Linked DNA regions of Ovis aries. The protein of the gene in region 2 interacts with the protein of the main gene of each other region in a pairwise test. Links are inferred from orthologs where the notes say so. Each region holds a gene or a part of one and is shown on either strand. Other genes may lie near its edges.

Region 1 (4,174 bases), on a different chromosome or scaffold from region 2:
GCCCTGCAGTTCTCACTCATGCTCTGCGCCTTCGTGGGGGCACTCGGGGGCGCGGCCTTCCTGGGCACCGCCATCTTCATCGAGAGCGACCGCCGGCAGGCTCAGCTGCACGTGCAGGGTCGGTCGGGCCTCCCCTCTGTCAGTCCACAGTTCCCTGTCTAGCTTCATGATGCTGCCTGCTTGTCTGTCTGTCTGCCCGCCCAGCCCTGTGTACCTGGCCTCTCTCAGTCCTCAGCCCTCCCCTTCCTCGGCTTCAGGGCTGCCTGACCCATGAGCTCATGCCCTGCTGTGTGCCCATCAATGCTGCCCTGTCCATTTGCCACTGCTTGTTCGTCCCCTTCCTGGGCCTGTGTCTGTCTGTCCATCCAGCCCTGGCTCTGATTCTCTTCCCTGGCAGGTCTGTTGCCTGAAACCGGGCCCACCGATGACCGGATTGTGGTGCCCCAGCGAGGACGCTCCACCCGGGTCCCTGTGTCCAGTGTGCTTATCTGAGGGATCACCGCTTGCTATCTGCAGACCTATCACAGCTGGCCCTGGGCCCACCCCAGGAGGTGCCCAGGCCCCAACTCCTCGGCTAGCCCGTTTTCCGGGAGGGGCCTTGGGCCGTGTTCCAGCTCCCACACACTACATGGGTAGCCAAGTGGGGACACTGGGGGCTCGGGACGGGGGAGCCCCTGCCCCTGGAGCAGCCCTGGGGGCTCGGTGCTATTTGTAACTGAATAAAATTTGTAGCCAGAACCCCAAGTGCCTGCTGGAGTCTCTCTGGGTTAGGGACCTCTGATCTCTGGATGGTGGGGGATGCCCCCTCTCTACCCCCAGGGTCCCAGCGGCTGTCGGGTGACCCCCGTGGGCCCTGGGGCAAAGCCCTGTCCTTCTGGGCCGGTGAGCATTGGGGTGGAGTGAGCTGGCTTTGTGTGACCGTGAGTCATGCCCGTGTCTCCCCTAGAGCCCGCCCTCCGCAGGCCAGCCAGGGCGAGGTGGGGGTGGGCACACCCAGGGGCCCCTCAGAATTCCCGGTGTCGGAGCCTCTCTTTGCTGCCTCCGTGAGCCACAGCTGTGGAGGCCGCGGCCACTGACTGGCCTGGAAGCATCTTTCCCTCCTCACCCCCGCTATGAGTTGCCCCTTGCCAGGGAGACCAGCTGACCCTTCTGGAGGGCCCAGGGTGGCTCCTGAGGTGGCCTCCTCCCCCTCCTCACTGGCTGAGTGGGGGTGGGAAGGGGGCGGGTGCAGCTGGCTGAGCCCCGATGATTTCCTGCCCTCACCCGGCGCTCACCACAGCTTCCTGCCACAGGCAGGCAGGCGCTGAGGAGAGGCGGGCGCGGAGCGAGGGGCAGGTAGGGCTGGGGCACAGGGTCTGTGTAGGGGTGGCTGGTGCCCCAGACTCCAGCCCAGACCCTGGCCTGACCACCCTGGGGTCCAGGGTCTTCCAGAGCCAGCGCTGACACCCGCTCAGCCCAGCGAGGGGAGGGGATCCAGAGGAACCCCTGCCTTCAGGCTCTCAGCCGGCCGCCGGTACCCTTCCCGGCCTGGCCCTTGCCCGCTGCTTCTCTGTGTGGAGGGGTGTGCAGCGAGCAGCTGGGCCTGGTCCAAGCAGATGGAGGCGGTCAGCCTGCCTGTCTACGTGCTGGGGCCCCTGCTGCTGCCTCTCTTGGCCGTGTTGCTGATGGCTCTGTGTGTCCGTTGCCGGGAGCTGCCAGGTGAGTGGGTGCCAGTGGGTTGACCAGATGCCCAGACACACTGCTAGGGATCCTCACTCCATTCTCTGACCTCTTCCTTCCCTTTAACTGTCTGTAACTCTTTCTTGCACGCGGAGACGCTGAGAGCCCCATACTCCATCACCCTCTGCCCTCGTCACCCTCTTTTCCTGCCTCACGGGCCCTCTCTTCCCCAGGCTCATACGACACTGCCGTCTCCGATAGGTGAGTCTGCCTTGTCGACCCCGTTCGACTCCCTCAATGCCCCGTGTGGGGCTGGGCCCCTGGGGGCCTGGGGTGGGGTCCAGGGCCTCTCCCAGCTGCTGACCTGAGCTCTGTCTCTCCTGCCAGTTTGACCCCAAGTAGCATCATGATCAAACTGCCTCGTGAGTACATGAGTGTCCCCTCCCTTGGGTGCGGGGAGAGGGTCCCCTGGCCTGGGAGAGCGTGTGCTTTTGTTCATTTCCCCGCTGTGGCCGCCCACATGGCCTGAGCTGGGGGTGGGGAGGGAGATCGTGTCTGCCCGCCCAGGACTCTCCAGGGCCCTGGGGGTGGCAGGGGTCAGTCTGCCTTTCGAGGCCTTGTCCAGGGTAGGGGTGTGAGGTGTGGAGTCATTCCTTCAGCTTGGTCCTGTGTCCTCAGCCACACTCGTCCCACGACCATCGACCACTCCCTACCCGCTCCCGAGCCAGCCAGACCTGCTCCCCATCCCGTAAGTACCAAATCCCCTCTTTAACCCCTCACCTCCTTGGATTGGGGGCCTCTTGCCCTGTTGCAAGCCCTCTCCCCCTAGAGCCCCACCCTAGTATGACCTCTGACCTTTGACGCCCAGAAGGTCCCCGCAGCCCCTCGGAGGCTCCCACCGTATGGCGTCGTCCCGGCAGGACTCAGATAGCGGTAAGCCTGGAGCGGGACCCACAGGGCTGGGACCACTGGGTAAAGGCCCCCTCCGAGCTGACTCAGTCTCCCTCTTGCGTTCTCTCTGCAGCCAACAGCGTGGCCAGCTACGAGAACGAGGGTGTGACTGGGACCCCTGTGGCCCCGGCTGGGAGGCGGCTGAGACCCGTCCTGGGCTCCGCTGACCCTGTGTCGTTACCCCCAGAGGCAGCCTGTGAGGATGCGGATGAAGATGACTATGACGAAGACTATAACAATGAGGGCTACTTGTGAGTGGCCAGGTGGGAGGTGGGGGCCGAGGCCAGGGCTCCTCGCTCACCTGACCCTTGACTCCCGCAGGGTGGTGCTTCCTGACAGGGACCCGGCCACCAGCACTGGCAACGCCGTCTCACAGGCTCCTGCGCCCAGCAAACCCGGCCTCCGAGACAGCGCCTTCTCCAGTGAGTCGGCCGTCTGACCACTCCCTGCCCCTCCGTGCTGCGGCTCCTCGGTCTTCCCTCTCCTCCTGGATCCTTGCGCCCCTCCATCTTCTCGCTTCTCTCTTTCTAGCCCTCCTGTCCTTCAGCTAGGGGACTTCCGGCTCCGATCTTCTTTTCTTTTCTCTCCTCTTCCCTCTTGATCGTTTGCCTTTTTGTCTGCAAGATTTCCTTGACTCTATTCTTCTTTGGGCTCCGAGCTTTTGTCTTTCTTGTCCAAAAGCTCTTTCTTCATCTCTGAATATTCCTTTCTCAGAGCCTCCTCTCTTGTCTTATGAAGGTGATATCATCTTGCAGATCTCGAAGGATAGTGATGATCAGCTGTCTTTTTTGGGTTTCTTTGGAAAGTTTTCTTCTGCTTCCAGTGTTGTTTCAGTTTCCTTTGGGCTACTTTTCGCTCTTCGTTTTGGTTTCATCCTGCCTCTTGGAGGCTTTTATCAGTGTCTTGTGATCTTCAGTGTCCGTTACTCTTTTCCTTCTATGCTTGCTCTGTGCCATCGTGTCCACACCCTGGCTTAATTTGCCATCCGCATCATCCCTAACTCATGGCCTCTCTCTTGGGCCCCAAACCATCTGTCCAAGTGCTTATTTTCATTCATTCATTCACTCACTCATGTTCGTCCATCTACTCACACAATTCAGCCATCATACTTACTGGTTGCCCCTGAAATAATCACTGCTAATGAGTCTGAGTGAACTCCGGGATATGGTGATGAATAGGGAGGCCTGGCGTGCTGCGATTCATGGGGTTGCAAAAAGTCGGACACGACTGAGCGACTGAACTGAACTGAACTGAATGAGAAAAAGTCATGATTAAAGCAGCTCGCATTACTGAGGACCTCATACATTCGCAGCTAAAGAGTTTTATGTGTATTTGTTGTTGTTATCTAGTCACTAAGTCATGTCTGACTCTTTTGCAACCCTGTGGACTGTAGCCCAGCAGGCTCCTCTGTCCACGGGATTTCCCAGGCAAGAATCCTAGAGCGTGTTGCCATTTCCTTCTCTGGGGGATCTTCCCAACCAACTTATTAATATTAAACCTCACAATTCCCAGGGGCTTTTGAGCTTCTCCCTTCCCCTCCTGCCTCTCACTTATCCCATCTATA
Region 2 (4,031 bases):
CATCAACTCTGGACCTTTAACCCTGAATCTTCATCCCTAAACCTAAAGTTCATTTGTCACTTGATTCCTGATTCACCCCTTTCTTGTTTATCCCCTGTACTGGCTATGCTAACCTTCTCTAATCCCTAAATCTGGACTTCTAACTTAGTTTCTGTTGTTGACCCTTAACCTGAACTCTAATGTTGGTCGTTATAGAAAACAAAATAATGCCCTTAATCCAAACCTCACCTACACAAAACGCACCTCACACTAATAAATCTAAATTTTAACCCCAGCTGCACACTCCTAAAGCTAACCTTAACTCCTAAAACCCAACTCCACCTAATCTCCAACTCACCCATTCCTGCTCACGTACCCGCTATCAGCTAACCTCAAAGCCGATCCCCGCCCTGCGTCACACTGCCACCCACTCCTCACCCTCCCTCTAAACTATCCTAGGCCGAGGACTGCTCCAGGAAGGGCCTGGCTGCCGAAAAACTGCCTATTTAACTCAGAGCACAAGCAGAGATACACCGGACGCGAACCTCTCCAAGATGACCCGAAACAGACGCAGAAGTCAGGGGCCCTGCCCGCCCGCCTCCCAGGCCTGGTGTCGCGGCCCCACCCTGAGGCCCCAGTTCGCCCGGTCCGGCCTACCTGCGCTGCCCGGCTCTGTGCCCCGCCCGCCGGCCCGCTAACCCGCTCGTTCTCCCGGTGGCTCTCGGGCTGCGGCCTCGCCCTCCCTTCGACACTCTCGGCCACTTCCGTCCCGGGAACGTCCCCCACCCGCGGGCGGCGCCCTGGGCCCGCGCTCTATGGTCGCGGGCACTGCAGGAAGCTGCTCTGGCCCCAGCTCTCGATGCTCGGGAGCCCGCTGACGACCGGCAGCCCCTCCCCAGCCGGAAGCGAGGGTGCGGTGCAGTCCCGAGGAAGCGCCAGAACTGCGCCCTAGTTCCCTTTTAGGCTGTAATCCTTCCTTTTTCTAGCCCGGGGCGGAGCCGCTTCCTCAGAATGCCCGCCCTCAGGGACTGCGGAGGCGGAAGGCACGTCCCCTCTATTTGCATCGCGCCCTGGACGTGGCGCGTACAGCGGCAGCCTCCGCGTCGGGGTGGGGTGGGGGACTCCAACTCCCGGCATGCCTCGCGGGTAGGTGCGTCACTTGTGTTCTGTTGGAAGTCTAGCGGGGAGTGGAGTCTGGAAGGCGTGTCCCGGTTTCAGAGCCTTCGCCAGCAGCTAGGAGGAAAACGCCGCTGAAGAGCCGATAGGTGGGGCCGACTGACAGTCCGTCGCGGTTACGCCTGGTTGGGGATAGGGTCCGGGTGGCGAGGTGAACTCCTGTGTTTCTGCGCATCTTTTCCATAAATGTCTCATATGGAGCTGGCGTTGGACCCGGGTGACCGTGACCTGCTAGGCTTTCTGCTAGAGGAAAGCGGTGGTTTGGGTGCGGCGCCCGACGAGGCCTTGGCGTCTCCGCCGGATTGGGAGCTGCCACTTTCTGAGGCGAGTGGGGGGCTCTGAGTCGGGGAGGCGTGAGGCGGGTTTGTGGGCGGGGTAGGGGTGTCCCTGAGGCAGGGGGTGGTGATGGTCAAAGCCTGTCAATTTGAACCCTGTGCAGTCTCTGAGCGATTGGGACGTGGAGGATTTCCTGAGCTGCCTGCCGAGTCCCCCATCATCGTTGAACGTTTTCAGCAGCTCTAACTCCTGTCTTGTCCAGCATGACCACACCTATTCTCTCTCACAAGAGCATGTCTCCATAGATCTAGGTAAGCCTGAAATAAGTGAAGTTTGGGAAAGGAGAGGACTCCGAGGCCTGACTACTCATATTTTCCCTTTTGCAGATAATGAGAGCTATGGAAAAGAGGGGACTCAGATGACTCCACTGTGTGTGGAGGAGCCGGCAGATCAGGTACTTGACTTATAGGAGGGTTATTTCCGTATTGCGCGGGTCGGGGCAGTATTCCGCGTTACTTTCTGAAATCCCTTTGCAACTCTGCTGCCCATCTCTCCGGAACCGCAGGAGATTGCTAGGCTGATACTGACTGAGGAGGAGAAAAGGCTGTTGGAGAAGGAGGGGCTTACTTTGCCTGGGATGCTTCCACTCACTAAGGTAAGTCTCCCATCGCGGGGACGGGGGTTGTGAGTTCCAAGTAGGCCAGTTCTGTTAATTTTGTATCAGTAACTTGAAAAAGAATTGAGGTGAGAGATTAGCACATTTTTGAGTAGGAAGCTGGGGCATGTGGTTAGTATACTGCTTGCAAGGACAGATCCTGGTTTGTAGTGCTTTTATAAATTTTGGTGTTCTTTTTAACTAAGAATTCAAAATTATCAGGGTAATATTAGTAAAGGGATTTGGAAAGTACTGTACAAGCGCGGGGCTCTGATACTTATATTTCACTGGTTTCATGCAATTTACTTGTAGCTGAATAGTAAATCAAGTATTAGAGTAGTATAACAAGTAGTATAACAATTAAGTAGTATAACAAGAGTAAATGTGAAATTTGGAGTTTCAAGCAATGAGAGGCAGTTTCACATGCACAGTATTGTGATACTATGATGAAATCAATGTCTGTTAACAGAAAGGTTAACAATTTTAATTTCTCAAAAATATAAGTTGAGGCAATCCCCTGGCAATCCAGTGGTTAGGACTCTGTGCTTTCACTGCTCAGGGTCAGGGTGCAATCCTGGTCTGCACCAGGGTGCAATCCCCTGGTCTGGGAACTGAGATTCCACAAGTGCGAGGTGTGGCCAAAAAAAAGTACAAGTTGAGTCAACAGTGTGATATGGCTACTAAGGAAGAGAATGGGGTTTAGAAGCTGTATCATCAGATTTAGTTGTTGTTGTTTGGTCGCTAAGTCGTGTCCAACTCTTTGTAATTCCATGGACTATGGCCCCCAAACTCCTCTGTCCATGGGATTTCCCAGACAAGAATACTGGAGTACGTTGCAATTTCCTTCTCCAGGGGATCATCCCAACCCAGGGATGGAACCTGTGTTTCCTGAGTCGCCTGCATTGTAGGCAGATTCTTTACTGCTGAGGCACTGGGGAAGCCCAGTTGTATCATCAGATACCAGTTATCTAATAGTGTTGCCACTAGAAGGGCAGTAACTATCTTGTTTTCTTTTACATTGGCCAAAAAGCTTCTTAAGTTTTGAGCCTATTATCTTTGACAGATATTAAGAAGATGCAGTCCATCCTGAGAAGAGATAAGATGATGAGTTAAAATTTTTGCCCAGTTTTTTTTTTTTTTTTTAACTCTGAAGAAATGCCAAGTGCTTTAAAATAGCTGAAGACCTTTGTTCTATTATGGCCCCAGAGATTAGGTGCTAGGTAAGTCCAACAGGTAGAAATAACAAAGGCAGATGTTGGCTCATAAGGAAGGTTTTAAAAAAAAATTATCTAACAAAATTGTTACAATGGTTTGGCTTGTGAGGACAGAAGCATTCAGACAGAAGCAGAGTGCCTATTGGTCAGGGAAATTGTAGAAGGAATCTCTGCTTTGAGAAGATTGAACTCGGTTGCCTTCAAACTCTTTGGTCTAATGTTCCTCTGATGGGATCCCTTTTCCTGTCTTCTCCCAGATGGAGGAACAAGTCCTGAAACGAGTGCGGAGGAAGATTCGAAACAAAAAGTCTGCTCAAGAGAGCCGTAGGAAGAAGAAGGTGTATGTGGGGGGTTTAGAAAGCAGGTATGAAAGGGAGCTGGACTCGGGGGTGGGAGAAACAGGTAATTGGAAGTGTGAGGTTTTTGAAGGGAGGATACAGGCCATGTCCCCACATCCCTGTTATTCCTCCAGGGTCCTGAAATACACAGCCCAGAATCTGGAGCTACAGAACAAAGTACAGCTCCTGGAGGAACAGAATCTGTAAGCAGCTCTTTCACATCAGGGTTTGCTCATCCCTCCCGCTTACTACTGTCTCAGTCTTTCTCCTGCTCCATATTTGATTTGTCACCGGGCATCTCTCACATATGTCTGATGCTTGGTCTTTAGTGGGTCTCTGATTCCATGAAGCTCACAGTAATGGGGAATAAATTCACAAGTATAAGTATCAAGG
Region 3 (3,283 bases), on a different chromosome or scaffold from region 2:
TTAAAAATCTTCTTTTTTTAATAATCTTGCTTGTGTTTTGGTTGTGCCAGCCCCTTGTTGCTTTGTCTGGACCTTCTGTAGCTGCAGCCAGGCGGGGCTGCGCTTCTGTCGCGGTGTGCAGGCTTCTCTTGCTGCAGAGCATGGGCTGTACGGAGCGAGACCTCAGTAGCTGTGGCCCATGGGTTTCATTGCTCAGTGGCATAGGGGACCTTCTTGGATTAGGGATCAAACCCGTGTCTGCAGAATTGGCAAGGGGGATCTTTACCACTGAGCCACCGGGGAGGTCTCCCCACAATCCGATGAAAGCCTCGGGTTCTCTCCCCAGTGCACAGAATTCTGCAGACAGGCTCATGGGTGTTTGAGGACTCTGTGAAGCTGGATTGTGAGCCTGTGTCCCAGCTGATGCCCGGGGTCCCTTCCTGTGCCCGCTGTCCGGGCAGGGGCTGGGTGAGCCTGGGCAGCAGGAAGTGGTGGTGTGGTCATGGGTGGGCGGGCCTGCCCCGTGACCTCTGCTCCTCCCGCAGGATGGCGGTTGTTCCCGTCGTCATCAGCCTGACCCTGACCACACTGCTGGGCAACGCCATCGCCTTCGCCACCGGGGTGCTGTATGGGCTGTCTGCGCTGGGCAAAAAGTGCGTACGCTGGTCCCCGCCTGGCTGCAGGGGGAGTGGGGGTGGCCTCTCCCTTCTAGAGCCTCTTGGGGACGCAGGTCTGGGAGCGGCCGTTTACCACCGTCAGTGACCCTCATCAGCGCCTCCGGGGCGTCTGAGCTCTTAAGGGGTGGAGGCGGGAGAACTCACGGGACCCCTGGGGCACAGAGTTGGCAGGGGCGCAGGGGCACAGCTCCTGGAGAGCCTCTGCCCATCGGGCCTGCTCCCGGCCTGGTGTTCCGATGCCCCCCCCAGTCCCGCAAAGCACAGCCTGAGGGCCCCAGTCCTCCTCAACTCACGTCCCCAGCAGTCCAGGCCACTCTCAGAGGCGACAGGATGGGTCTCTGCCATCCTCAGTGACAGGGTCTCATCTGGGGAAACCAGGGGGCGTGGCAGGCGCTAGGCAGGGCCCCCCCAGGGCCCCAGGCCAGGAACGGGGCAGAGGCTGGGCGGCTGCGTGTCTGGGGTCTGTCCCCCGTGTGGCGCTGACTGCCCTGTCTCCCCAGGGGCGATGCAATCTCCTATGCCAGGATCCAGCAGCAGAGGCAGCAGGTGGACGAGGAGAAGCTCACAGACGCCCTGGAGGGGGAGCTGTGAGGGAGTTGGGGCCCTCCTGCCCCCGCTTGCCTCCTGGTCTGAGTGAGCTTGTGCCGAGGAGCATGGACCCCGAGGGGTCTGGGGAGGAGCCCACATCTGGTTCTCTCAGTCCTGCTCACCTGTCCCCACGCCCGGAGTCCTCTCTCTGCCCCCCGCCACGCCCCGCCCTTGGCATCACCCTGAGCCAAGTGCCAAGGGGCAGGGTGAGGGCTCGGAGGGCCTCACCAGCAGCAGCAGGGTGACCAGAGGGAGCCTCGGGGTGACCAGCTGCAGGGCTCTGCACAGACACCCTCCTGGCCCCACTGTTTCCAGCTGGCCTGGCTTGGCCGGCCACAGGCCACGGGGTGGATTTTGAGACTTCGAGTGGCTGGCGGGACCACCCACTGTGACCGGCTGGAGGCCTGGGAGGAGCTGCTCCTGGGGATGTGGGTGCCATCTCCATGTGGGGGTACATCCGCTCGGGCCTCCTGGCCTCCCAGGCAGGAGCATACCCCGTGAGCTGAGCTGCCTGGGCCGCTTCTGTCTGGCCTTCCACCACCGCCCAGGCCCTGCCAGTCTCCTCCATGGGAGCCCCCAGACGCCCCTCCAGTGCCCCGGCCGGCAGCCCTGGCAGCCTGACCGCTGGCTGGGGTGTGCTCCGGCCTCTGGTCCCGGCACCATGGACGAGCACAGAAGCAGGCCTCTCCCCTGGGCCTGGCCCGCCTGGGCCAGCCGTGCGCGGCTCTGGGGCTCCACCCCTGCTCCTCCCAGGAGCCTGGGGGGCTGCGCCCGCCTTCTGGAGCCAGCCCCAGGGCTGCACCCAGTCTTTGCTTCCAGATGGACCTTCATCTCTGGGGGTTGCTAGGGTTGGCGGCTGGGAGGCAGGCCGTGTCCCGGGGATAGCAGCATGCCCCCAGCCCTCAGCTGGGCTGAGCTCTGGGGTGGCAGGGTCTACCGTGCGGCCAGCCCGGTGTGACACGTGCCTTCAGGGGTCCTCTGGGACCATCTTCCTTAGGCCTGCGCCGGGGTCAAAGGGCTGTGGGCTGTAGGCAGGGTGTGTGCGTGTGTGTGTGCGTGCGTGTGCGTGTCTCCTGTGTGTGCCGTGGATCAGACTGTCTACCTCCCTGGAGCAGCGAGGGCCCTGCCCACCTCCTGGCTCATCCTTCCCCAGGAAGTGGGGCTCTGGGGTCACTCCTGCTTCTGCTGGGTCTCCCTGCTGAGAGGGGTCTCCCTGCTGACGGAGTCCTTCCTGCCGATGGGGGTCTCCTTGCTGCGGGAGGGAAGAGCTGGCTGTGTGTGGAGCAGGGTTGTGGCTCTGGCCTGTGAGGAAGCTGGGCGGGTGTTAGGGAGGCCCTCCAGCCCCTGGGTCACAGGCTAGAGTGGGCAGGTCACCCACCGAGGTAGCCAGGACTTGCCCACCCTGGGGGTCTGGGCTCTGTCCTCCCGTGCTCCTTGTCGACTCTCCGTGTCTGGCTTGTGTTTTGAGCAATAAAGCCCGGTGGCGGTCTGTACGCTTGCTCCCGTGCTCTGCTCGTTACCTTTTCCCTCTGGTCCAGAAGGGACACCCCGACCCTAGAGCAGCCGAACAGGGGCCCCCGGCCCCGGGGGAACCCACCAGGTCATCGGGGTGCCATGCAGCCTGCTCCCAGCATCTCAGACGGCGCAGGTGGCTCTTCTGAGCGCACAGCTAGGAGGAGCTGGAACCTCACGGCCGGGGAGACCCAGCCCTCGCCCCTTCCTTCTGCCTCACTGTGGGCAGACTGGGGTGGCCTGGGGTAGCAGGCTCTGGTGACCTTGGCTGAGTCTTGGGTCTGGCTTGGCTGCTGGCGGGGGGCTCCCCCACCGGGAGTACTCCCCACTCCCTCCTCTCATTTATTGGTATAAATAGGGTGAACACAGCTCGCCCTCAATCGCTTCCTGTTCCCAGAAGCGGGGTGGGTGTAGGAGGCAGAGTCCATGCAGGGTCCTGTGCCCTGGCCGGTGGGCGTCCAGCACGTCCCCTGTGGTGTCCATAGGCCTCACAGGTGCAGCTTCCTGTCCTGGTCCCCACGCGGCCA
Region 4 (4,207 bases), on a different chromosome or scaffold from region 2:
TCATCAACCTATTCAGCCACACATTTCATCACCGGGAGTGCCGGATCCAGGAGCTGGGGACAGCCTGAATCCCTTTGGGAACCTGGTCCTGAAGGTGGATCCTAGATCTTTTTCAGGTCCTTCTCCACTGTCCCCTTCCCTGATAACCCCTGATAATCCAGCTCCAGGGCCGGGTGACCCCACCTCCCAGTCACCTGATGGTGATGATGGGGAGGCGAGGGTAGGAGCGGTATATCCAGCAGGACCACCGAGGAAACGGGCCTGAGCTGGGGCCAGGGGAGTCGGCCAGCATCCAGGGATGCTCCCCCCACCGCACTAATCTCCGGTGGCGCGCGCCTCTCTAGCCGCCCAGGGGGCGGGGGAGGAGGGCGGGCAGAGCCCCACAAGGGAGCGCCGAGGGGAGGCGGGCGCCGCGTACGTGCGGCGAGCGGCCGGCCGCATGAAGGGCGAGGGCGGCCGGCCCCCGCCGGGTCCCGGGCCCGCTCCCTGCTCCCCGCTGCCCCGCGGCCGGGCGGCCCGGGTCTTCCCGGGGGTCGCCGGCGGTGGCGCCCCCTGGCTGAGGCTGTCGGGGCGCGGAACCGGGGGCCTGGGACGCGCGGGGGGTGCTGGTGGGAGCGGGGCTGGGGGCGGGCGGGAGGTAGGGAGCCCGGAGGGAGAGGGAGGTGGGGACGTGGCTGCGGCTCAAGCGGGCGGAGCCCGGCAGCGGCGGGAGGCGGAGCCGCCCAGGAGGAGGTGCCGAGCGGGCCCGGCGCCGCCGCGGGAGGTTCTGGAAACGCCGGGAGCGGCGCGTGTTCGGGTGAGCGTCCCGCCTGCCTGGCAGCCGCGGGGCTCTGGTACCGGCCGGGGTCACCGGGCCGAACCTTCTGCCCGCGCGGGGCCGGCAGCTGGGGGCCGGGGGTCGCGCTGTCCGGGCCGCAGCCCCGCGCCCTCCGCCCTGTTTCTGCACCCGCGTGGGTTCCTGTCCTGCCGCCGAGTCCCCTCCCCGAGCTATGGGCGGTGAGGTCAGCGGCGCCTTTCCTGCCGGTCCCCTCGGGGCGGCCGGACCGGGTGGGGAGCGTGGCCGCCCCGAGGGTCAGGCTCCTGGGAAGGGGCGGCCCGGCCCCAGGGCACCCGGAGCTTGGAGGAGGCAGGGGCGCCGGGCAGGCCTCTAGGGGCCGCTTGGTGTTAGGTCCACCCTCCTCCATCCAGAGGCTTGGGAGTCTGTAGCCTTGATCCTGTTTGGTTCCCGTTAAGACAGGCTATTGGATGATAAAAGTTTCTTTTTTTCTTCTCTCCAGTTTTGCCTCAGTAGCCGCGGAGACTTGTAACTAGTTAACTAATTCAAGAAACGAACCCTTCAGTGTTATCAGAAACTGCAAGGAGTTGCTGGCCTAGTGGGGCACGCGGACTGGAGACCAGGAAAGGCCAGGCCCCGGTCAGTGTGGTGAGTGCTGTGCTCAGAGGGAGCACTGGACTGTGGGTACTTGGTAGAGGACAGGATGCTTCAGGCCAGAGGACTTCCTGGAGGAGGTGACCCATGAGCTGGAGTCGTCAGATGAAGGTTGAATAAAGGGTAACCCAGACAGAGGAATAGCCTGTGTGAATGGAAGCTGACCTGGGCACTCTAGAGGAAGCAAGGAAATGGGGGAAGGGACGCTTTAGTGGATAGCTGCATAGAGACCCTGTCCAGAGAGCTCAAGTGAGAAGATAGTGCCTGGTATTGTGTCCTATATGTGGAGGGTGCTCAGTGAATCCTTGCAGCATGAATGTGGATGCAGGAAGTTTCCTTTTCCAGGGCAGAGGCCCCTGGTCTCTGTTTTCTAATTGACACCTTTCAGATGGAGAAGAATATCAAAGTCCCTCCCAAGGCTGAGGCTGGTGTCTTCTGCTGTAGAGTGATACCTGAGGCTTGTGCTGCTTGATGTAAACCGTCTGAAGCTCAACAACCTCAGCCCTTCTGGAGGAGATCCTGGCCCTGAGATCAAGAGTTGGGGAACATTGCTTTGCAGCTTAGGGCATTCTCAGATGTTCCTGATTTTGCAGAGATCCACTGTCCCCCTAAGAATTTAGAGGACGGTTTTGCAAGCTGCTGCCCACGTCATATCTGGGATAGCAGATTCCATGATTTAATTCTCTGTTCAATGAACCGTGGTTTCCTTTGGCTTGTGCTCAGAGAGTCTCTGAAGCTTCCAGGGTGCAGGTTCTCACTTTGTTCTGGGCTTCCAGGTCCAGCCTCTCTGTTCACTTCTCCCTACTCATAGGATATTTGGGCTTTGAATCCTTTTATTCTTGAGCCTCATTTGTAGACGGCCAACTCTGTCCACTGTGTGTCCCAGCGAAGGAAGCCACGTTGCAAAGATGGGGTGAGTTGGCTGGGGGCCTCATCCCAGAGATGCTGTCATACTCGGCCACCCTAGTTCTCTGAGAGATCTGCAGGCAGACATGGTGGCAACTGAGTATTGTCTGTGGCTTATGATAGGCCCTTCTATCCTGTCCAGTGCTCTGAAATGGTGTACCCCAGAGAGTGCCTGCTTTGTCACTGTTTTAGCCTGGCCGATCTCTGTTCATTCCTGGAGTATCTCCTGTGTACTGGGCTTTTGCTTAAAGTGTGCCTGGGGCTGGAATGAGGGAGGAGGGAGAGGAGACAATGATGGTGCTATAATCCTTGCCCATGGGTAGCTCATAATCTCTCTGAGATTGCTGCTTCAGGCTGGCAGCTGGTCACATGCCAGGGAGGAGCTCAGAGTGTGAGCGCTCATGAGGAGCGACTGCATGGGTACAGCCCTGAGGAATGAGTTGGGTAGCAAATCTAGGGTCTGCTCATTTCCTGAGAGAACCTCCCTTTTTGACTCTGCCCTCCCACATCCTTGGGAGGGCCTGAGACTGGATGTTAAGACCTTGGCCAGTGTGTGGCCACGCTGGCCATGGTGTGCGTTGCGCTGTTGGGTGTGTCCCTGGCTCCTGGGATCTGTAGAAAGTTTAATTTTATGCAGATGGAGGTTGGCAGGAAATGGTGTGATGCAGGCACGTGCAAGCCCAGACAGGGTGCTGGAGTGAGAGTTAAACTTCGAAAACTCTAGCAATTTTTTTGGACTTTTGAAGTGCACCAGGGTGGGACATGAGTCTGTTCTTGAGCAGAGAGGGCTGGTAGCCCCTGTGGTCACTGGGTTTGAGCTGCGGATGTGGAATGAGGGATATCGTTTTTATTCTCAGAAGGAGCAGAGGGGCTGAAAAGTCTGGATTAGACTTCTTGGAGATCTAGGAGAAAGCATGTGTTTAAGTGGTGTCATTTCAGGGCAGAGGGTTATAGATGTTTGGGTAGTGAATTCTCCAGCTCACTGGATGTGACTCTGATCACAGACCAGTATCTGCTCTAGACGTTTCAGGAAGTGTTTGCTAGAATATACCCTGCTCTGTACCTGGCACTCTTGAGGGCCCAGGGTGTGGCCGTGATCCTGAGACCTGGTATTTGTAGGAACTCAGAGTGTGCAGGTCAGAGACATAGAAATAGGTGAGATTCCAGAGTGTAGATCCGGTCACCTGTTTTTTTGCCAGAGAACTTTCCTTCCTTGGTGAGAGAGCCAGTGATTGGCCAGTTTTCAAAGTTAGCTTCCCGACGGTCAGTGTGCTGCTTTAGGCCTGACTCCACCCTCTCCTGAATCTCCTTTGACACTCCTGGGACATGGAGGTTCTCCGATTTCTGTTTCGTTTTCGTCTTCACTGTCTCATAGGCTGGACCTTCTTTCTCTCCAGGGGTCAGCGGCTTCAGGTCTGTTGCCGTTCCTCTACTGCCCTTGGTGCTGATGACTGGTGGAAGTTGTGCCTGGTGCTAGGCTGCCCACTGACATCTGTCAGCACATTCAGTCTTCAGAACAGCCCTATGAGATGTTACCACTGTTAAATAGATGGGAAAACTGAGGCTCCAAGACTGTAACTTGGAACTGTAACTCCTTAGACTGTAACTTGTCTAAGGTTCTGAAACCTGGAAGTGATTGTGGAGCTGAGTTTTAACTCTGGGACTATCTGACTCCAGGGTTGGTGTTCCTGCTCGACTATATTGTCTTGTCCTGAGCTGGGCCACTTGGTCATCTGTGAGTGCGGTGATGTCTGGGCAGGACTGACTGCTCACTTGAACTGGAGGCACCATGTTTTATCTTTCTGAGCCCATGTTGCTCTCTGCCTTCTGGTGGGATCCAGCCATGGGTATCATAAAGCTGCTTTGTGAATC
Region 5 (4,134 bases), on a different chromosome or scaffold from region 2:
ATTGATGCTTTTGAACTGTGGTGTTGGAGAAGACTCTTGAGAGTCCCTTGGACTGCAAGGAGATCCAACCAGTCCATTCTGAAGGAGATTAGCCCTGGGATTTCTTTGGAAGGAATGATGCTAAAGTTGAAACTCCAGTACTTTGGCCACCTTATGCGAAGAGTTGCCTCATTGGAAAAGACTCTGATGCTGGGAGGGATTGGGGGCAGGAGAAGGGGACGACCCAGGATGAGATGGCCGGATGGCATCACGGACTCGATGGACGTGAGTCTGAGTGAACTCCGGGAGTTGGTGATGGACAGGGAGGCCTGGCGTGCTGCGATTCATGGGGTCGCAAAGAGTCGGACACGACTGAGCGACTGAACTGAACACATATAGACTAGTTCTCCACTGTACACCTTAGTAGTTTCATTGGCGCTTAAATACATTCGACGAGGGTGCAAGATTTCGACCTCTGGGAGGCTTAGATCAGGAGATTGAAAGATGGGGAAGAGGACGGCTTGGGAATCAGGGGCCTCGGGAACACGACCTGACCCCCCACCCCCCCCCGACCCCCCACCCCCCCCCGACCCCCCACCCCCCCCCCCGACCATTCTACCAGGTCCGTTTTAGGTTCCCCCAAAACCAACTTCCGGAGGAAGCCCCCCTCACCACGTAGACCTCCTTCCGCGTGTCCCCCCCGCCCCATCACCCAGCGCCCCCACCGACCGGGCAAAGCGCGCTAAACACACCAGCGTCGCGGCGCGCCCTTCTCACCCGCCAAGAGAAAAAACAACATCGCTTACCCTCCGCGGGGCCGCGAAGGCCTACGGGGCCACGCGGTTCAGGGGCCCGGCCTAGAGCCGAGAAGGAGTAGGGTGGTGGGGGCCGGACCTGGAGCCCCCGGGCAGGGAACGCGCCCCCTTTACCTGTGGCAAGGCCTTCGCCGCCCGCCCAGCCGGACCCCGCGGGCCGCCCCTCGGCGCCGCTCTGCCAGCCGGCGCTAGCTCTCCCGTCGGCCCACGTGGGCTGCGGCCGGAGTGGGCCAGACCATCGGCGCGGCTGCGCGGGTGGGGAGAGGGCGGCGCGCGGCGGAGTGGACAGAGCTGGCCGCAGGGGGCACACGGTCTCCCTCCCCTGTGGGCGCCGCAGACCCTTGCGATGGGCTTGGGAAGGCGCCGCACGTCTCTACGGACGCCCCTCCCGGGATCCCGGGCCGGGCGAGCCGCCTCCACCCGCAGCCCGAGGCCGCGTGGACCACGCCGGCCCCGCCCTCCTGCGCCGGCCCCGCCTCCCCCGCGCCGGCCCCGCCCGCGGCTCGCCCCGCCCGAGCTGCTCACCCAACCCGGCCCCGGCGTCCGCCCGGCAGCCCGCCCGCCCGCTGCGGCTCGTCCGGCCCCCGCTCCCCGACCCCAGGCTCCCAGCCTCCGCGGGCCGGGGCCGCGCCGCGGGACCGGGAGGCGGGCCATGGCGTCCTGCGTGGGGAGCCGGACCCTGAGTAAAGATGATGTGAACTACAAGATGCATTTCCGGATGATCAACGAGCAGCAAGTGGAGGACATCACCATCGACTTCTTCTACCGGCCGCACACCATCACTCTGCTCAGCTTCACCATCGTCAGCCTCATGTACTTCGCCTTCACCAGGTGCGGGGCGGCCCAGGCGCGCCCGAGGGCGAAGGGGAAGGGGCTGGCTGGGGACGCGGCGGGGCTGGGGGCGGGGAGAGCCATGGCCGGGAGAGGAAGCGGGCTCGTTCTGCTCCGCGCGCGGGCTCGCCCGCCGGCGGCTCTGTCCCCGAACACACCCAGCTTCGCTCCCCTACTGCTCCTCGGGGACCGGCGCTCGTCCCTTCCCTGCGACCCACGCCCATCCTCCACCCACCCTCACGCCTGTCCTCATACCGCCTCTCCCTATGCAGCGCCTCGGGCCACCCCGGGAACACGCGTGGCCCGGCTGGCGCGATCGCCCTCCCTCCCTCCTCCCTGGCTCCCAGCATCGCTCTCCTCTCCACGCATCACGACACCGGCCCCCTCCTCTCGGGCCTCCGTCCCCGCCTAGCACACCGCATGATTCATCTGGTAGGCACCACTTACAGCACATGTCCCCGCTGCAAACACCCCAGTCTACGGGCGTCTTTCACGCGCCATGCCCAGGCCCAGGACGTAACCCAGACCTTCCCCGCCGAACTCCTCCAGGGTTCAGCACTACCTGCCCACAAAAATGCACTCCACTGTGCGTTGTACGCCAGTCGTCTCGCATAACCCTTCCTGCAGCCCCAAACACGACCGCCTGTACCACAACACAAACTGCCAGCCATGCGCACACACATCACAGCCAACATTCCAGTACTGCCACACAGACACCAGCCCATTACACAACACACGGTGCCGGCTCTGTTCTGTTCTTATCCCGGCATACATGCTGAAATGAGACATTGTCAGGCCACTGTAGCAATGCCCCGTGCCTTGTAGATGATATGGAAAGGGTTAAATAAAACACGCACACCACACACACTATAGCACAACTCTCTTAACGCCTGAAAACATACATGCACACTCACTCAAAGCACTTCTGATGTACACCTGTGCCTAGGAGCTACCCCGTCCAACTCTTGTTGGCCCATGGCTTATAGCTACCTCACTGAACATGAGGTCCCTCAGCCCCAAGCCAAGGAACTGATTCATGCCTAAAGGACAGGTATACCTTGGGTCCTACTTAATAAGGGTTCATATTTTCTGAATGAACCTCTTTAACGAAAAAAATGTGTGTTTATACCAACCATGCTTAAGCACTAACCTAGAGATGTGGAGTTTTGGAGGCAGACTAGTGGTCGCAAGACTATTTGTGTGACCTTGGTTAAGTTGTTTAGCCTTTCTCTGAGCCTCAAGATTCTCCTCTGTATAATTGGGATAAAATAGGTCCTTACCTTATATGGAGTTAGAGAATTAAATGAACATGTGTGAATGTATTTAACAGAGTACCTGGCACATGATGCATAGTTAATGTCAGTGCAGTTCAGTTCAGTCATGTCTGACTCTTCGCGACCCCGTGGACTGCAGCACGCCAGGCCTGCCTGTCCATCACCAACTTCCGGAATTTACTCAAACTCAGGCCCAGTTCAGTTCAGTCATGTCTGACTCTTTGCGACCCCCCGGACTGCAGCACGCCGGGCGTCCCTGTCCATCACCAACTCCTGGAATTTACTCAAACTCAGGCCCACTGAGTCAGTGATGCCATCCAACCATCTCATCCTCTGTCATCCCCTTCTTCTCCTGCCCCCAATCCCTCCCAGCATCAGAGTCTTTTCCAATGAGTCAACTCTTCGTATGAGGTGGCCAAAGTACTGGAGTTTCAGCTTCAGCATCATTCCTTCCAAAGAAATCCCAGGGCTGATCTCCTTCAGAATGGACTGGTTGGATCTCCTTGCAGTCCAAGGGACTCTCAAGAGTCTTCTCCAACACCACAGTTCAAAAGCATCAATTCTTTGGTGCTCAGCTTTCTTTATAGTTCAACTCTCACATCCATACATGACCACTGGATAAACCAAAGCTTTGACTAGACCTTTCTTCTCTCCTAATATATTTATCCAACAATCAGTGGTTTTCAGCCCATCCACAGAAACTGTACGGGAGTATATTTGGTGACCTCAGCATTGAGGGAACTTCTGATATTTAGCAGGTGGGGGTTAAGGATGCTAAATGTGTAAACGCCAGGGATAGCATTTAAGACAAAGAATTGTCCCTGACTCACAGGCACACGTGAGCACTTACACACTTGTATGCATGGCAAGTGCCAATGGTATCTCCCTTGAGAATCAATGCAACTTTTTCAGATTTTCATAAAACTGATAATGTCCTCGTACATCACACTTGTTCCTTTCCTCCACAATCCATTTAACTCTCGGTTCTTATTTTGTAAGTGTTTATCTATTTGTGTGAATCTATCTAAAGGCACAAAGCATATGAAACAATTAATGATTGAGGGAAACAGCTACTTTTATGGTAAAATATTCTGTGAATTCTCTGCTGTGGAGTAAGGACAGATATTTTCAGAGTATCCAACTAAGAATAAGCTTTGGAGAGAAGTCTTGTCCCTAATTATGGTTATCCTCAAATACTTATCATGTCATTTGATTTTACCACCTAGTATCTGTGT
Region 6 (3,394 bases), on a different chromosome or scaffold from region 2:
GTGGCTCCATAAGGGCTGAGAGGCCCTCCCACAGCTGCAATATGAAGGCCAATTTTACAGTCCCGGTGGAGGCTGGCTGCCAAAAGGGGCCTGGCCCAGCACAGCAGGGGACTCCTGGTCTGACTCTGCTCTCGTGTGCTGTGGGACCCTGGGCAGAGCCATGCACCACTCCGTGCCTCAGTCTGCCTCCCTGGATTGAGAAGTGATAATGAACCAACCTCTCAGGGCTGTTGTGCAGATGAAACGAAGGTTGACACAGGGCTTGGCACAGAGATGCTCAATAAATGTCAGTTCTTTTGTTCATTCATTCATTCTCTCCAAGGAGTCAGGGACACCTTCATAACTTCTTCTTTGGGAGTGATTCCTGTGTGGTGAATCCCTGATCTTCCAAAGGACCTTGGCCTCCAGTCCTGCACAGGTTCGCTCCTTGGGGCCCTCAGCTGCCCTGGAACACAGACCGGCCCCCAGGGCAAAGCCCTGCGCAGTGGAGATGCCGCAGAGAGTGCGCCTGCTCTGAAGAAGTAGAGCCAGGTGGACCACTAGGTCCCTGGGCTCTGAACAGAACTCCCAGCTTCACCTCTGCACCCAGGCCCAGCAGGGGCCCACACCCCCTCCACGGTTCCTGTCTGTGGCTCTTTGAACTGGATGGCTCAGAGAGTCCTTAACTCAGCTGGGTTGAAGGAGTGACTGCAGAGATAGCACTAGCTGCCTGTAGCCAGAGTCCCGCCCTGGAAGGGTCTGCAAAGGTCATCGGCTCCAGGCCTCTGCCTCCGTGCAGGATAGCAGTAGAGCCAGGGAGCTCGGGAGGACCATGTCTGCAGAAATTCCTCTCAGGAACTGATTCATCCATTCCCTTTGTGCTCTTTGTGGACTCGCTGATGGCTCAAGGGGGCTGGAGACGTGGTCCCTACCCTGGGTGGGGGAGGGGCTTCCCATCTCCCTTCCCCAGGCCCCTGCATCTGAGCACCCTGTAGCCAGGACCTCATAGTAACATCATGGAAAATACGAAAGGGCCGCTCCTGATTTCCTCGGCCTACCTCCTTGAGGTCTGGTCTGCCTTTTCCAGGCCCCTGGCACTTTGCCCCTGCCTCTCACCTGTTGGTCCTCTCAGGTTCCTGGTTGACTTAGTGCCTTGTCAGCTGGCTGATCAAAAGGAAGGAGATGGGGAGGGCCCTGGCCTAGGAAGGGGCAGGACCCCTATGTTCAGATCTGGGTTCTGGCACTGACTCTGCCATGAGGCCCCCTTTTCTAGGCCTCAGTCTTCCTGGCCCCCACACAGAAGTATGTAGAACATAAGCATTTTCCCATCACAGGCAGATGACCTTGGTTGGGAAGACCTCTGGAGAAGGCTTTCAGCATAAACCTGTAAACACTGTCTTTTAATGACAGGTTTAACTTATTCCCTAGCTTGGTGTGATCAGTTTCATTGTCCTTAATAATAATGTAATTGCTTTTACTTAAAAAGGGTTTCCCACCTATGTGTATATGCTGTAGACAAGTCATTCCCAACTGAGTTGTATGTAAAAAGGGCTTCAGTGGTCAGATAAGTGGTTGCTTGCTTGGGGATCCCAGCATACATGAAATAATCAGAGCTCTGATGACTCCTGTGGTCCTCTGTTTAACTCAGTTTCCCAAACTTATTTGATTAAGCATTTCAGTTAGAATTAGGTTCAGCAGCAAATGACAGAAATCACAAATGACAGTGATCTAAAAAAAAGTCTATGTCTGGGAAGACAGTCCAGGGCTGGCATAAGTGACTCCGGAAGTCTTTAGTGACTGAGGCCTCTTCCAGCCTTACAGTTTGGCTCGTGGACCTCATGGTCCATTATGGCAGCTACAGTGTCAGCTCTCACATCTGCATTCTAGGCATCAAGTCAAAGGGTGAGAAGAGAACTTGGGGCCGACCCATTGGCTAGAGCTTAGTGATATGGCTATGCCTAGCTGCAAGAGGGACAGAATGACTTTTAGGAGAGGCCGACATTTATCTGTCCCACCAAGAAATTTTTTTCTCCATCCCATCTAACATCCTAAGAACACAGTTGGAGAAGGATATTATGGGGCTTAGGTCATTTTAACACTCCAGAGTGGAGACTCTAGAAATTTTTTTTGCCCTCAGTAACCTTTGGCGTTAGGGGTCATCAGGTAGGTGATCTCCAGACTTCTTATGGGCTGGACAGTGTGGTTCTGGGCTGGCTTCTAAGGACAGCTTTCCTCCATCCCCCCTCAAGCGTGTTTTGAGGATATTTAACCCTCTACTGTCCGTGTCCTGTGGACTAACCTCTACTAACCCAGTGCTCTTGTCTGTCTCTCCCCTAACCACCCCGTCCCGCCTGTCCTTGTCCCTGCCAACCCCCGTCCCCAGGCGGGCCAGGCTGTGCTGGCCTTCCAGCGGTACCAGATTGGCGCCGACTCGGCCCTCTTCTCCCAGGACTACATGGACCCCAGCCAGGACTCCAGCATGCCTTACGCCCCCTACGTGGAGCCCAGCGCCGGGCCAGAGCCCACCAGCATGGGCGGCACCTACCAGCAGCCGGCCAGCGCCTTCGAGCCCGAGCCCCAGGGCTACCAGTCGCAGGGCTACTGAGCCACAGGGACCACCTGCCCCCCGCCTGCCCCTGAGCCACCCCAGCCGCCCCCTGCCCCCTCCCTCCACACCCAGCCCCCCTGCTCCCTCTCTGGCTGCCCTGCCCGGCACCTCCAGGTGGTTCCACTGAGGTCCAGGGCCACTCGGGTGGGCGGGGCAGTGAGGTGCTGGGGGTGTCCACACGTGTGTGCAGGTGTGCGGTGCCCTGGGGGTTGAGTTCGTTCCTTGTCTGTGAGTCTTCATTGAGCACCTACTGTATGTCAGGCCTGTGCTTGGCACGAGTGCTAAGACAGATGGTCCCCGGAGACGAGGAAGAGGGGATGTGGAGGAGGCCCTGCTCTTAACCAGAGGTAGGAATGGAGAGAATCTTCCACCTGGAGGATGCTGGGAAGGTTTGACTGCGGGGTGTGAGTACCGCAGGACACTGGGGGCTGTCATCTGCTAGGAGTGACACCCCCGCCCTGCTCGGAGTATTGGGCCGTCTCCATTTTATGCTTGAGGAGACAGGCCTGGCGAGGTCAGGGTCACTCAGGCAGCCAGTGATAGAGGTGGGGCCACCACAGGCTGCCCGACTACAGAGCACCTTTTGTCCCCCAGGGTCCCCACCATCTCCCATCCCTGAGCCCGGGGCTCCGCCGCTCAGTGCTACAGTCCCTCTGGGAGGCCTTGGGGACCTCAGCCCATGAGACACCCTGATTCTGCTGCAAGCCAGGGGCCTGCTCTGCCCCGACTGTTCCGCCCAGCGGGACAGCCCTGCCTCCAGGCCCCTCTCCCCACATCCCGCTGGCCTCTCCCCTGGCTGCCTTCCCG
Region 7 (3,306 bases), on a different chromosome or scaffold from region 2:
CCAGGTTTGGAGTTCTTGGCCGGGGGGAGAAAGGGGTCCAGGGCTCCAGACCAAGGGGACGAAACCTGTGGGAGGGAGAAGCTCTGGAGATTCTGCTTCTGAATCCACCTTCCTTCCCTTGATAGGAATTCTACCGCTATTACCGGCAGCTCAAGCTCAAAGGGCCCGGGGAGCAGGAGACCAAGCTGGACCTCATTAGTAAAGGTCCGAAGAACCCGAGGAAGCTGGGGTGGAGGATGGCTGCTCAGCAGGGGGGCAGCATGAGCTGTGGGCAAGAATGAGCTTCCTGTAGTGAGGGATAACACCAGTAAACAGGGCTGGGCTAGAGAAGCTGGGTGGGGCTGTGCACTGGTTTAAGGGGGTATCCACCCCCAGCTGACCCCAGCCCTTTTGGGGATTGTGTCATTTCCCGTTGCTCTGTTCCTCCCACAACTTGAAGACCCTCTCACCACCTGTCACCCCCCAGGAGAGGAAGCAAAACCAGGCCAAGAGGAGACCCGATTCTCGGCCCCCAGCTCTCAGCCCACCAAGGAAAGCCACTCTGTCCGCACTATCCTCAAAAGTGTATGTAGGGCTGGGGCATCCTGCCTCCTACCCCTCCCATCCCTTTTTTTCTGATCCTTTCTCACCCCATGCCCATCCCCTCCCTTTCTGGCTGGAGACTGGCCCCTTTGCTGGATTTTCCTGCATGTATGCACGCCTGTGTGTGTATTGGGGAATCTTGGTTCTTTAATGATGCACAGCCACCACGAAGACACAGACCAGGGTCCCTTTCCTCCAGATCTTGGTCCCGGCTTTCTCCGTCTGCTTCGTCTTCACCATCACCATTGGGATATTTCCTGCCGTGACAGCTGAGGTCGAGTCCAGCATTGCGGGCACCAGCGCCTGGAGTGAGGAAACCACGGGTTCCCAGGATGGGGAAGGACAGGGGCTTGAGAGCAGGGCTAGGAGCCTGGGCGAGGGGAGCCTGGGCTGTTGCCTCCGCAGCCAGGCTCTGCTGGCCCACTCACCCTTCCCCGGCCTGGAAGCACCTTCTCCGTTTCACAGCTGGGAAACCCAAGTCCCAGGGAGAGTCAGGGTTGCTAGATCCTGCCTTTCTTGGACCCACTAACCCTCTCCTAATCTACTCTTTGTCCTCCAGAGGCCTACTTCATTCCTGTGTCCTGTTTCTTGACTTTCAATGTCTTTGACTGGCTGGGCCGGAGCCTCACAGCCATCACCATGTGGGTAAGTGAAGGAGGGTCACCAAGCCCCTGTGAGATGGGAGAGTCCAGACTGAGACACCCAGGGAGGGGACCAAGAAAGTATGGTGGAAAGCGGACCATGCTTTTTTTAAAAAACTGAGACATAATCTTTGTATAGTACGGTGTACAAGTTGTAGATGTACAGTTTAATGACTACACACACATAAACATACACACGCTCCTGGTGATCACCACCCAGGTCATGCTGCAGCACATGGCCAGAAGGTCTATCTACCATGGCCACTCCCGATCAGTACCCTACAAGGGTAACTAGGCTTGGAGGTTTCAATTCAGATCCTGAGGGCCTCCGAATGGAGCCCCGGGGCCTGGCCCAGCCTGACCGTGGCGTGGCCTGGTCCCCGCAGCCTGGGAAGGACAGCTACTGGCTCCCGAGCCTGGTGCTGGCCCGGCTGGCCTTCGTGCCCCTGCTGCTGCTGTGTAACGTCCAGCCCCGCCGCAACCTGCCTGTGATCTTTGAGCACGACGCCTGGTTCATCATCTTCATGGCTGCCTTCGCCTTCTCCAACGGCTACCTTGCCAGTCTCTGCATGTGCTTCGGGCCCAAGTGAGTGGGGAGTATGGTGGCCTCAGGCAGGGCCTAGTGCTCCAGCTGGGGACCCTCAGCAGAGGGAAAGTGGGAAGAGGGAGACTCCTGATCATGGAGCTCAGGGTTTCCAGGCTGAGAGAGGAGCCCACTGGCCCTCGGGGCCCAGGCAGTGGGAGGGGAGGAGGGGCTCCCAGGGAAAGGTAGAGACAGCCTCAGTACACACCCCCTCACCAAGATGGAGAGGAAGACAAGTGGGTCAGCAGAATGAGATGCTCTGGGTGGGGCAGGGGACTGGGGTCAGGGATGTCCTAAGGTCGGCTCGCCCTCCCTCCTTTAGGAAAGTGAAGCCGGCTGAGGCGGAGACAGCTGGAGCCATCATGGCCTTCTTTCTGTCTCTGGGCCTGGCCCTGGGGGCCGTCTTCTCCTTCCTGTTCCGGGCAATCGTGTGACCGCGGATGGACGGCAGGATGGCACCAGCTGCCTGCTCCTGCCTTCCCCTTTGGGGGTGGGCAGGGGTCCTCTGGAGGTTTTCCTGTCTAGCCATCTTCTGCTTGCTCATGGCCTGTGCTGGGCCCGGCATCCAGGCCCCGAGGAGAGAGCTCTGTGGATGAACATGGGGACACTGTGGGCTGGAGGGTCAGAGTCAAGGGAGGGGACACAGTCTCTGCTCACGCGGACCCCCCACTCTTGGCTCTGACCAATGCCTGCCCGGGCAGGGGTTCCTAGGCTCAGAGAGTTGTGTGTCTTGTCTGTCTGCCTGTACCAAGGGTGGCCGGGGGCCAGGACTGCTTGTTCTGAAGTCTGATCTGGGATTTCTGCAGTCCCCTTCTCCCCATGTGCCTCTTCCTCCCACCTCTCCATGTTCTACCCATCATGAACACTGTACATTTGCCATTATACTGCCTTTTTTTATACTCAAACCAGGGGCCTTCAAAGGCTGGTTAAATAAACTTTTTTTTTTTTCCTCCGTGGCTCCCTGTGTCCTCCAGCCATGGGTTCACACCCTGGAGAGGCTAGAGGGATGGCAGCCTGAGTCTGGGGGGATGAGCATGACCCAGATGGGCCTTGGCCAGCACTGGGCCTGGGTCCAAGGCATTAGGGATGGGGTGGGTCCTCTTTAGTCTCAGAGGCATTACAGTGCCTCCTGCTGGGGCCACAGAAGAGAGACAGGCCTGGATCCAGGACACCCAGACTGTTGGCTGAGATGGAGAAAGGCTATTTCCTTTTGCCATTTCATTCCTCCTTTTGGAGGCCTGGGGGTGGAGACAGTGCGCCATCTTTCTTTTGTTTTGAGTCGCCCCCTCCACTCTGTCCTCACCCCACAGCCTGGGGAGGGAGCTCTCTAAAAGCAGCCAGCTCCACCTCCCACCCCCACCCCACCAGCAGGAAGAGGCTGTAGCCGGAGGGTTCTGCCCTGCCTGGCACCAGGCCCTGACACTGAAGTCAAGGCAGACTTCTTGGCGAACAAGGGGCCTGTGTGTCCTCAATGAAGCTGGGCCCCTTTCTCCTCCCAGA

What was found.
Region 1: the proteins of CREB3 (region 2) and LAT interact in a two-hybrid assay, tested with the Homo sapiens proteins (2 studies listed by BioGRID and IntAct). The two-hybrid records come from large-scale screens. The link is inferred for Ovis aries from reciprocal best matches to the Homo sapiens genes CREB3 and LAT.
Region 3: the proteins of CREB3 (region 2) and CACFD1 interact in a two-hybrid assay, tested with the Homo sapiens proteins (2 studies listed by BioGRID and IntAct). The two-hybrid records come from large-scale screens. The link is inferred for Ovis aries from reciprocal best matches to the Homo sapiens genes CREB3 and CACFD1.
Region 4: the proteins of CREB3 (region 2) and P4HA2 interact in a two-hybrid assay, tested with the Homo sapiens proteins (2 studies listed by BioGRID and IntAct). The two-hybrid records come from large-scale screens. The link is inferred for Ovis aries from reciprocal best matches to the Homo sapiens genes CREB3 and P4HA2.
Region 5: the proteins of CREB3 (region 2) and PTDSS1 interact in a two-hybrid assay, tested with the Homo sapiens proteins (2 studies listed by BioGRID and IntAct). The two-hybrid records come from large-scale screens. The link is inferred for Ovis aries from reciprocal best matches to the Homo sapiens genes CREB3 and PTDSS1.
Region 6: the proteins of CREB3 (region 2) and SYNGR1 interact in binary tests that used the Homo sapiens proteins (3 or more experiments, as listed by UniProt). The two-hybrid records come from large-scale screens. The link is inferred for Ovis aries from reciprocal best matches to the Homo sapiens genes CREB3 and SYNGR1.
Region 7: the proteins of CREB3 (region 2) and SLC29A1 interact in a two-hybrid assay, tested with the Homo sapiens proteins (2 studies listed by BioGRID and IntAct). The two-hybrid records come from large-scale screens. The link is inferred for Ovis aries from reciprocal best matches to the Homo sapiens genes CREB3 and SLC29A1.

The regions. Positions count from the first base shown.
Region 1 is NC_056077.1:26,377,424-26,381,597, reverse strand, and holds the start of LAT (linker for activation of T-cells family member 1), read left to right. Parts: upstream 1-1,285; 5' UTR 1,286-1,595; coding exon 1,596-1,698; intron 1,699-1,814; coding exon 1,815-1,920; intron 1,921-2,046; coding exon 2,047-2,081; intron 2,082-2,337; coding exon 2,338-2,407; intron 2,408-2,527; coding exon 2,528-2,592; intron 2,593-2,683; coding exon 2,684-2,861; intron 2,862-2,931; coding exon 2,932-3,032; intron 3,033-4,174. Other genes in the region: SPNS1 (protein spinster homolog 1), read left to right, coding at 1-118, 398-492. UniProt on the Homo sapiens protein: Required for TCR (T-cell antigen receptor)- and pre-TCR-mediated signaling, both in mature T-cells and during their development.
Region 2 is NC_056055.1:52,808,392-52,812,422, reverse strand, and holds the start of CREB3 (cyclic AMP-responsive element-binding protein 3), read left to right. Parts: upstream 1-1,195; 5' UTR 1,196-1,341; coding exon 1,342-1,479; intron 1,480-1,594; coding exon 1,595-1,742; intron 1,743-1,817; coding exon 1,818-1,885; intron 1,886-1,996; coding exon 1,997-2,086; intron 2,087-3,557; coding exon 3,558-3,664; intron 3,665-3,772; coding exon 3,773-3,841; intron 3,842-4,031. UniProt on the Homo sapiens protein: Endoplasmic reticulum (ER)-bound sequence-specific transcription factor that directly binds DNA and activates transcription. Plays a role in the unfolded protein response (UPR), promoting cell survival versus ER stress-induced apoptotic cell death.
Region 3 is NC_056056.1:2,591,312-2,594,594, reverse strand, and holds the end of CACFD1 (calcium channel flower homolog), read left to right. Parts: intron 1-524; coding exon 525-632; intron 633-1,156; coding exon 1,157-1,247; 3' UTR 1,248-2,737; downstream 2,738-3,283. UniProt on the Homo sapiens protein: Transmembrane protein which mediates synaptic endocytosis and fitness-based cell culling.
Region 4 is NC_056058.1:19,976,354-19,980,560, forward strand, and holds the start of P4HA2 (prolyl 4-hydroxylase subunit alpha-2), read left to right. Parts: upstream 1-1,380; 5' UTR 1,381-1,423; intron 1,424-4,207. UniProt on the Homo sapiens protein: Catalyzes the post-translational formation of 4-hydroxyproline in -Xaa-Pro-Gly- sequences in collagens and other proteins.
Region 5 is NC_056062.1:80,865,766-80,869,899, reverse strand, and holds the start of PTDSS1 (phosphatidylserine synthase 1), read left to right. Parts: upstream 1-1,321; 5' UTR 1,322-1,446; coding exon 1,447-1,625; intron 1,626-4,134. UniProt on the Homo sapiens protein: Catalyzes a base-exchange reaction in which the polar head group of phosphatidylethanolamine (PE) or phosphatidylcholine (PC) is replaced by L-serine. Catalyzes mainly the conversion of phosphatidylcholine.
Region 6 is NC_056056.1:216,623,820-216,627,213, forward strand, and holds part of SYNGR1 (synaptogyrin-1), read left to right. Parts: intron 1-2,362; coding exon 2,363-2,584; 3' UTR 2,585-3,394. UniProt on the Homo sapiens protein: May play a role in regulated exocytosis. Modulates the localization of synaptophysin/SYP into synaptic-like microvesicles and may therefore play a role in synaptic-like microvesicle formation and/or maturation.
Region 7 is NC_056073.1:17,720,831-17,724,136, forward strand, and holds the end of SLC29A1 (equilibrative nucleoside transporter 1), read left to right. Parts: intron 1-125; coding exon 126-204; intron 205-466; coding exon 467-564; intron 565-781; coding exon 782-890; intron 891-1,141; coding exon 1,142-1,227; intron 1,228-1,609; coding exon 1,610-1,809; intron 1,810-2,128; coding exon 2,129-2,240; 3' UTR 2,241-2,755; downstream 2,756-3,306. UniProt on the Homo sapiens protein: Uniporter involved in the facilitative transport of nucleosides and nucleobases, and contributes to maintaining their cellular homeostasis. Functions as a Na(+)-independent transporter.